Macaca fascicularis: one gene and its partner. The protein of the gene in region 1 purifies or fractionates together with the protein of each later gene. This does not show direct contact. Links are inferred from orthologs where the notes say so. Each region holds a gene or a part of one and is shown in the gene's direction. Other genes may lie near its edges. The genes, in order: SNX33 and DNM2.

Evidence for each region.
Region 2: the proteins of SNX33 (region 1) and DNM2 purify together in Homo sapiens (co-immunoprecipitation; 3 studies listed by BioGRID and IntAct, with this or other methods). This does not show direct contact. The link is inferred for Macaca fascicularis from reciprocal best matches to the Homo sapiens genes SNX33 and DNM2.

The regions. Positions count from the first base shown.
Region 1 is NC_088381.1:52,871,555-52,875,925, forward strand, and holds the start of SNX33 (sorting nexin-33), read left to right. Parts: upstream 1-1,446; 5' UTR 1,447-2,637; coding exon 2,638-4,108; intron 4,109-4,371. UniProt on the Homo sapiens protein: Plays a role in the reorganization of the cytoskeleton, endocytosis and cellular vesicle trafficking via its interactions with membranes, WASL, DNM1 and DNM2. Acts both during interphase and at the end of mitotic cell divisions.
Region 2 is NC_088393.1:11,284,848-11,289,253, forward strand, and holds the start of DNM2 (dynamin-2), read left to right. Parts: upstream 1-1,310; 5' UTR 1,311-1,473; coding exon 1,474-1,634; intron 1,635-4,406. UniProt on the Homo sapiens protein: Catalyzes the hydrolysis of GTP and utilizes this energy to mediate vesicle scission at plasma membrane during endocytosis and filament remodeling at many actin structures during organization of the actin cytoskeleton.

The DNA.
Region 1 (4,371 bases):
GAGAATGAAGGGAAGATCTAGCTGGACAGGGTAGACAAGACTCCAGGGTACAGCCAGGAAAGGGGATCCTCCTGAAGCCTTTGCCTCATCTTAGGCACCTCCTCCTTCAGGAAGGTTTCCTTGATCCTTGCTCCACCCAGGCTGGAGTAGGTATCCTCATGTGCACTTTTCATGGCACTGACTAGTCACACTGGGCAGGGAGCATTTGTCTACTTGTCACAATACATCTGAGCTTTTGGAAAATAAGGATAATGTCTTAATTGTCTTTGTAGCTCAGGGGCCTGGTGCAGAGTAGATACTCAGTTAATGTTTCTTGAGTGCATGACTTGGCTGAATGAATGACAGAGAATGGATTGATTAAAGACAAGAGAGGATGGACTGTAAGCCCCCCAGGATAGGAACCCCGACTGACTTGTGGTGTACTCCCCAGTGCCCAGCACAGTGCCTAGCAGATTCAGTGCCCAAAGTGTTCCAGATATGCTGACCGAGGATCAGATCCCACTTGCCTCAAGACTCTCTACCTGACCACCTCTCTCCTTGCTGCCCCTGGCTAGTACAGAACATCCAGTCCCGCTGCCGCACTAAGCAACACGGAACCGGGTGGCACCTAGACTTGTTCCCTGTCGCTGCAGATGTAGGGTAGTGTCTTTCCCTCCTTCCAAGCTAGTCGCCCAGGGCAGGGTCGCCCTATCTGGCTAGGGTGCTGCACCCTCAGCTGTCGGTATCTTAGGTCAGACGCCCGGAACGCGCAGGCCGTTTCTACCCCTCCGGAAAACAATCTCCGAGCTGCGCCACGACCCCGTCCCTGCGGAGCAGGAGTGAGGAATGGGAAGGTGGGAAGGCGAGCCCGCGACTCTGCTCCCCAACCCCAGCTGGCACGGCTTTTCACGCACCTCTCCCCGCCCGGCCCGATTTCCCCATCCTGGCTCTGGCGCGGTGCTCCTTGCAGCCCCACGCTTTGCAAACTTTGGGAGTTTTACTCCATTTGCGTCACGGAAAAGGCAGGAGGATGACGGAGTCCAGGAAGCGAGGCAGCAGTGGCTGGCAAGCTCCACCGCCGGGCGCTCCAACCACGGGGGCGTGAGGTGTCTCCCGGCGAGGGCAGACAGACGGAGGGAGAGCAGAGGAGGTGGCGGTCCCAGAGACCAGCCCCGGAGGCTCTCGGGCTCCCTCGTTCCCGGGTCGTTTCCTCCCTCTTGCCTCCGGGACTGAGCGAGGGCACTGGCCAGATGGGAAGCCGCGCGGAGGAGTAGGCGGGGGCTCGGCTGCAGCGCCCCGGGCCCGCGGGAGGGCGGAGCTGGCCGTCCCTGCCCCGCCGGGACGCACGGAAGTGCAGCGGAGTTTGCCCGATTCTCCAGCCTGCTTCCCCCTCCCTCCTCCCTCTCCCCACCCCTCACCTCCCCTTTGGCGATCCCCTCCTTCCTCGGGACGCCACCTCCCGGAATCGCGTTTTTGTTTTGGAGCTGCCTTCTCGCTGGCGGCGCGGAGGGTCTGCGAGCGCAGGGGAAGGCAGGCTGGGGGCGCAGCCCGCCCCCCACTGGCCGGGTCCCGCAGGGCGGAGCGGAGGACGGACGGACAGACGGCCAGCCGCGCCATCTGCTCGCCGGAGCTCACTCTCCAAACTCCAAACTGTTGAGTGTGTGCGTGCACGCGAGGGTGGGGGTCGGGGGTCGTAAGTCCCGGGTGAAGAACTGGTTTCTGCTGGGGTTACCTTTGGACGGGGTTCCTGGGATTCAGAGCAGGGTCAGCGTCAGTCTCAGAAACTGCTGAGGAATTAGGCAAACAAAAGAGACCACTCAGCGACTGGCCAGAAGTCGCCCGACCGCCTCGTCGCGCCCCCTCCTTCCTCCGGGGTTGGGACTGGCCACTTCTGGGGCGGGGAGAGGGCGCCCGAGCCGGCGGGGGCTCCGGCTGCGCAGCCGGGGTCGAAGAGTTGGCGGCCTGTTGTGTAAGCCTCAGTCCTTGTTTTCCCGGCCTGGCTCGTTGTGAAGCCGGACACATCCACCCTTGGACTCGATTCAGGCGGCTGCTGCTTTTCTCCTTGCCCCTCTTGGATTTTCCGGATATTTGAAAACCCAGTGGCCCAGGAGCAAGAGGAGGAGGAAGGAGGAAGGGGCAGATCTGCAGAGGAATGTGAGAGCCTCCCAAAGCCAGAGTGGCCAAAAGAATCTGGGAGCCAGAGGGACAGCCGAGCCCTGCCTGGGTTTCTGGAATGGTGGTTTCCGAGTGAGTCTCTTCTATTTTAGAACGTTGTTCCAGTGGAAAGTGTCGAAATTTTCCCCTCGCAGGGCAGATTTCTCCAGGTCACTTGACTTTTCTTCTGGGAGTAGGAGTTAGGAGAGACTCCCCTCTAATCCCCCAGGGGCTGCTAAGGGAGGAGGCTATGGACATGAGCCCTCCCTGCTCACAAGCATATGCCCGGAGACCTGATAGGGCAGTTTCTGGGCCGTGGACATTGCTTTGAAGAGCAGAAGATTGGACAGCATCTGTGGGTGCTGAGACCCCACCTTAGGACCTGAGAGATTGAACTGTGTAAGCGCCATTCAGCTGCGAGTGCATTCTTGGACTTCCTTGTGAGCATCCCGGGTCTGGACAGGACCCTCTCCTTCCCATCTGTCTGTACCACCCAGCCCAACCATGGCACTGAAAGGCCGAGCCCTCTATGACTTTCACAGTGAGAACAAGGAGGAAATCAGCATCCAGCAGGATGAGGACCTGGTCATCTTCAGCGAGATCTCACTGGATGGCTGGCTGCAGGGCCAGAACAGCCGTGGGGAGACAGGGCTCTTTCCTGCCTCTTACGTGGAGATCGTCCGTTCTGGCATCAGCACCAACCATGCTGACTACTCCAGCAGCCCTGCAGGCTCTCCGGGGGCCCACGTGAGCTTGTACAATAGCCCCAGTGTGGCCAACCCAGCTAGGAGTGGTGGGGGCAGTGGCTTCCTCTCAAACCAGGGTAGCTTCGAGGAGGATGATGATGATGATTGGGATGACTGGGACGATGGATGCACAGTGGTGGAGGAGCCACGGGCTGGTGGGCTGGGCACCAATGGGCACCCTCCCCTCAACCTCTCCTACCCTGGTGCCTACCCCAGCCAGCACATGGCCTTCCGGCCCAAGCCACCACTGGAGCGGCAGGACAGCCTGGCATCTGCCAAGCGAGGCAGTGTGGTGGGCCGTAACCTCAACCGTTTCTCATGCTTTGTGCGTTCTGGAGTGGAGGCCTTCATCCTGGGTGATGTGCCCATGATGGCCAAGATCGCTGAGACATACTCCATTGAAATGGGCCCTCGTGGCCCCCAGTGGAAGGCCAACCCCCACCCATTTGCCTGCTCTGTGGAGGACCCCACAAAACAGACCAAGTTCAAGGGCATCAAAAGCTACATCTCCTACAAGCTCACACCCACCCATGCTGCCTCACCTGTCTACCGGCGCTACAAACACTTTGACTGGCTCTATAACCGCCTGCTACACAAGTTCACTGTCATCTCAGTGCCCCACCTGCCTGAGAAGCAGGCCACAGGCCGCTTCGAGGAGGACTTCATTGAAAAGCGGAAGCGGAGACTCATCCTCTGGATGGACCACATGACCAGCCACCCTGTGCTCTCCCAGTACGAAGGCTTCCAGCATTTCCTTAGCTGCCTAGATGACAAGCAGTGGAAGATGGGCAAACGCCGGGCGGAGAAGGATGAGATGGTGGGTGCCAGCTTCCTGCTCACCTTCCAGATCCCCACCGAGCACCAGGACCTGCAGGACGTGGAAGATCGCGTGGACACTTTCAAGGCCTTCAGTAAGAAGATGGATGACAGTGTCCTGCAGCTCAGCACCGTGGCGTCAGAGCTGGTGCGTAAACACGTGGGGGGCTTCCGCAAGGAATTCCAGAAGCTGGGCAGTGCCTTCCAGGCCATCAGTCATTCCTTCCAGATGGACCCCCCTTTTTGCTCTGAGGCCCTCAACAGTGCCATTTCTCACACGGGCCGTACCTATGAAGCCATCGGGGAGATGTTTGCTGAGCAGCCCAAGAATGACCTCTTCCAGATGCTGGACACACTGTCTCTCTACCAGGGCCTGCTCTCTAACTTCCCTGACATCATCCACCTACAGAAAGGTAAGACCCAGTGCAGGCAGGAAACCCATCCTGAGTCTGACTCTCTGCTGGGCCCTGGGGAGATGGGGATGGCCTGGATAGAATGGAGCAACTTATCTTTATTTCTCTGTCTCAATCATTCATTTAACAAATGTGTTGGACTGGGCATGGTGGCTCATGCTTGTAATCTCAGCACTTTGGGAGGTTGAAGTAGGAAGATCAATCACTTGGACCCAGGAGGTTGAGACTACAGTGAGCCCGATTGTGCCACTTCACTCCGGCCT
Region 2 (4,406 bases), on another chromosome or scaffold:
GCTACTTGGGACGCTGAGGCGGGAGGATCGTTTGAGCCCAAGTGCTTGTTGAATTGAGCTATGAGTCCACTACTGCACTCCAGCCTGGGCAACAGAGCAAGACCCAGTCTCTAGGAAAGGAAGATTCATTGGCTAGACGCGGTGACTCACGCCTGTAATCCCAACACTTTGGGAGGCCAAGATGGGCAGATCACTTGAGGCCAGGCGTTCGAGACCAGCCTGGCCAATATGGTGAAACCCTTTCTGTCTACTAAAAATACAAAATTAGCTGGGTGTGGTGGCGTGCACCTGTAATCCCAGCTATTCGGGAGGCTGAGGCAGGAGAATTGCTTGAACTGGGGAGGCAGAGGTTGCAGTGAGCCAAGATCGCGCCACTGCACTCTAGCCTGGGTGACAGAGTGAAACCCCGTCTCAAAAAGAGAAAAAAAAAGATTCATGCTCTGCTAAAGTTGAAGAAGCCGGGGAAAAAACTTTGGAGCGTTAGCGGCGTCAAGATCGGGCGTGAGCAGAAAGGGCACAGTATTTGCAAAGGCGTGGAGGAGGAGTGATTTTACTGCGTTCTGTCTCTGGGAAGCAATGACTTGGCCTTACCCATTTACAGAGTGCATTGGGACCCTGGTCCCAGAGTTGGTTTGCAGTCTGGGCACTGAGATGCGTTCTGGGACTTGTAGTTTTCCCCAGAGCCAGGAAACTCAAAAATCGAGACATCGGATCCCACCACGAGGTGTCGCCCTTGAGCGAGTACGGTGGGACCTATCCTGTACTTCAGAAGACTGTTGCAGATATCCAACAATCACAGGGGAAGAACGCGAGTTTTTCTGATTGACAGATATGGTTCTCAATCATAGTGAAGATTCGGATGTTACACCCCGCCCTCTTTTGCCTGGTTGGCTGGAGCAACGAAGTGATATTTATATGAACCAATGGGAAATTCTTAGGGAACTAGGTAGTAGCTCAATCCCTAACATCATTGGTCCACATTGTCGACTGGCACGTCTGCCTGCCAATAAGATGGTGTAACCTCGCCAATGGGCGGAGCCAAAGTGCATTTTTTCTGAAACACCTCCTTCCTCTCTTGACAACTTGCTTTCTGCCGCTATTGGCTTTTGCACAACAGTGACGGTTCTTTTGTCCAATAAACCAGCAAGACGGTCCTCAGGGGGAAGGTTTACTCAACCATTGGCTTGTGCCTCGTTTTTATTGGCTAGTGTGCCCGAGTGGCGGCGCAGCAGGCCAATCGCGTGCGGCGCGAGTGATTTGTGCGCAGCCCTGGGGCCGGGGCGGGAGGTCGCTTGGGTCGGGTGTAGCCTGAGAACCGGATGAGGCGGCGACCGTGAGGCCGAGCCGGGAGCGGGTGTCTTGCCGAGGCCCGGGCGGGCGGAGAGCAACGGCTACAGACGCCGCGGGGCCAGGTCGTTGAGGGTCGGCGGCGGCGGGGAGCGCAGGGCGCTCGGGCCGGGGGCCGCCGGCGCCATGGGCAACCGCGGGATGGAAGAGCTGATCCCGCTGGTCAACAAGCTGCAGGACGCCTTCAGCTCCATCGGCCAGAGCTGCCACCTGGACCTGCCGCAGATCGCTGTGGTGGGCGGCCAGAGCGCCGGCAAGAGCTCGGTGCTGGAGAACTTCGTGGGCCGGTAAGCGGGCGCGGCAGGGATCGCGGGCGGGCGGCGGCCTAGGGCGCGGAGGGCGGACCGGGAATGGCGCTCCCTGCGCCGCCGGCGTAACTGCGGCGCTTGCGTGCCGGCGGCGGGGAACCGGACGGGGTCGGGGAGGCGGGCCCTGTGGGACGCCCTGGGCAGAGGACTCCCTGCAGGGGCTCGGGAGCGGGCCTGGGCCCCAGGGGCGGCGTCATGGGCCGGGGGGCCGTAGGACCGGAGGTGTGCTGGAATCCTGCGGTCCATCTGGTCCCAGCTTTCGTGGGTGAACTCTGCCGTCTGGTTGCCCGTGGGTCTGGGGTAGATCCCTCTTCTGCTCTTTCGGGCTGTTTATCAGAGGTGAAACCGGCCATCTAGATATCTACTGGGGCGACCCCTGCGGTCTGGCTGGCTTGTTCTTGTATCTGGAGCTGCCCCCGCCATCTGGTTGGCTGTCTCTCTGTCCTGGGCAAGCCTCCCTGCCACAACCATTTGGTTGTCCATCTGTCCAGTCCCACCTGGCAGCCCCCTGCTGTCTGGCTAGCTGTAAAGGGTGACCTCTGCTGTCTGGCCGCCCATCCGTGCCCCTCACAGACTTTAACACTGAGCAGTCCCTCTGTTGGGTGACACCAGCTGGCCTCCACTGTCTGACTGGCTAGCTGACTCCTAGGGGACCCTGTTTGATTCTCTCAGGCTGACTCTTAGAGCTTAGTCCCTGCCTAGAGCTGGTCCTCTCTTCCGTCATTCTTCTGTCTGTCTGGCCATCTCCTGTTCTGCGCATGACTACCCCTGAGTGTCTGGCCCAGCGCCTCTGGAAGTGGGTGGCAGGAGGGTAGAGGGGAGAATACAGCTGAAGGATGAGGTTTGAACCCTACTTCCCCTGTCAGCTAGAAGGAGGACCCTGGGGGTACCTTACTTCAGGATTCCTTTCAGGGTGCTAGAACACAGGGCCCGCCTCCCAGCTACAGCCTGCCAATTGGGGGCCCTCCTTTGGAGCCTGGGAAGGGGCTTCTCGCGTGACCAGGCCTCAGTGGCTAGCCCTGGGATGTAGCCTTCTCTGGACAGCCCTGAGAAGCCGCGGTGTGCCCATCTGTCCAGTGGGCAGACTCCACTCTCTGGGCTGTTTCCAGGATTCAGGAAGCAAATGAATGAGAACAGCCCGTGCAGCCACCTCTCCCTCCCACCAACCCCTCTTGCCTTTCTTGTCTCCCAGATGGGCGGCCACTTCTCCATTCCAGGAACTACTCATTTGTAGTGGTGTGGCTGCCAAATGATAACATCCTCCTCCTGTCATTATTGTCATTGTTATTGTTTTTTTTTTTTTTTTTTTTTTTTTGAGACGGAGTCTTGCTCTGTCACCCAGGCTGGAGTGCAGTGGCCGGATCTCAGCTCACTGCAAGCTCCGCCTCCCGGGTTTACGCCATTCTCCTGCCTCAGCCTCCCGAGTAGCTGGGACTACAGGCGCCCGCCACCTCGCCCGGCTTTTTTTTTGTATTTTTTAGTAGAGACGGGGTTTCACCGTGTTAGCCGGGATCGTCTCTCGATCTCCTGACCTCGTGATCCGCCCGTCTCGGCCTCCCAAAGTGCTGGGATTACAGGCTTGAGCCACCGCGCCCGGCTTGTTATTGTTTTTATCAGTGTCAAGGGATAATGTTTTTCTTGATTCAACATCTTGAATCCCAAGTAAGGAGTGGGGTGGAGGCTGTGTTACCATCCCCACGTTAGCTGAGCTGGGAGGCTTAGAAGGAACTGTGTTCACCCAAGGCCACCAGGCTGGCGTAAAGCCTTGTGTCTGCTATCCCAGAGCCTTGGGGCTTTCCTCCCAGCAGCACGAATTTCCTCCTTTGCTACCTTGTCTCTGGCTCATTGCCTTCTGTCTTACCACAGTGTTTGCAAAGCTCTGTCTCTTTCACATGCCTTGTGACCTTGCACAGGTTGTCTTGGCTTCTCTAAGTCTTGGTTGACACTCCTAAACAAGTTTTTTTTTTTTGTTTTTTTTTTTTTGAGACAGAGTCTCGCTCTGTCTCCCAGGCTGGAGTGCAGTGGCATGATCTTGGCTCACTGCAACCTCTGCCTCCCAGATTCAGGCGATTCTCCTGCCTCAGCCTCCCGAGTAGCTGGGATTACAGGCGTCCACTACCATGCCCAACTAATTTTTGTATTTTTAGTAGAGACGGGGTTTCACCATGTTGGCCAGGCTGGTCTCGAACTCCTTACCTCAAGTGATCCTCTCGCCTTGGCCTCCCAAAGTGCTGGGATTACAGGCGTGAGCCACCAGGTCGGGCCCCAGGAGTTCAAGACCAGCCTGGGTAACATGACAAGACACCATTCTACAAAAAATAAAACAAGTAGCCAGGTAGGGTAGTAGTCCCACACCTGTAGTCCAAGCAACTCACGAGGCTGGCCCTGGGAGGATTGCTTGAGCCCAGGATGTCCAGACTGCAGTGAGCTGTGATCGCACCATTACCCTCCAGCCTGGGTGACAGAACCAGATCCTGTTTCAAAAAAAAGAAAAGAAAAGGAAGTGCTTACCTAATGCAGTGCCTGGCACATAGTAGGTCTACATGGATAGGGCTGTTGTTGTTTATCTGGCTGGTTCCTTTGCTGTCAGTGACAAAAGCTAACCAGAATGAAAGTGCTTTCATGTTACACACTTAAGCCTTATGAGGGCGGCATAAAAAAAGGCTTCTCTTTGGGTATGACGGGCTCAAACAAGGCTTACTTTTTTTTTTTTTGGTAAGAGATAGGGTCTCTCTTTGTTGCCGAGGTTGG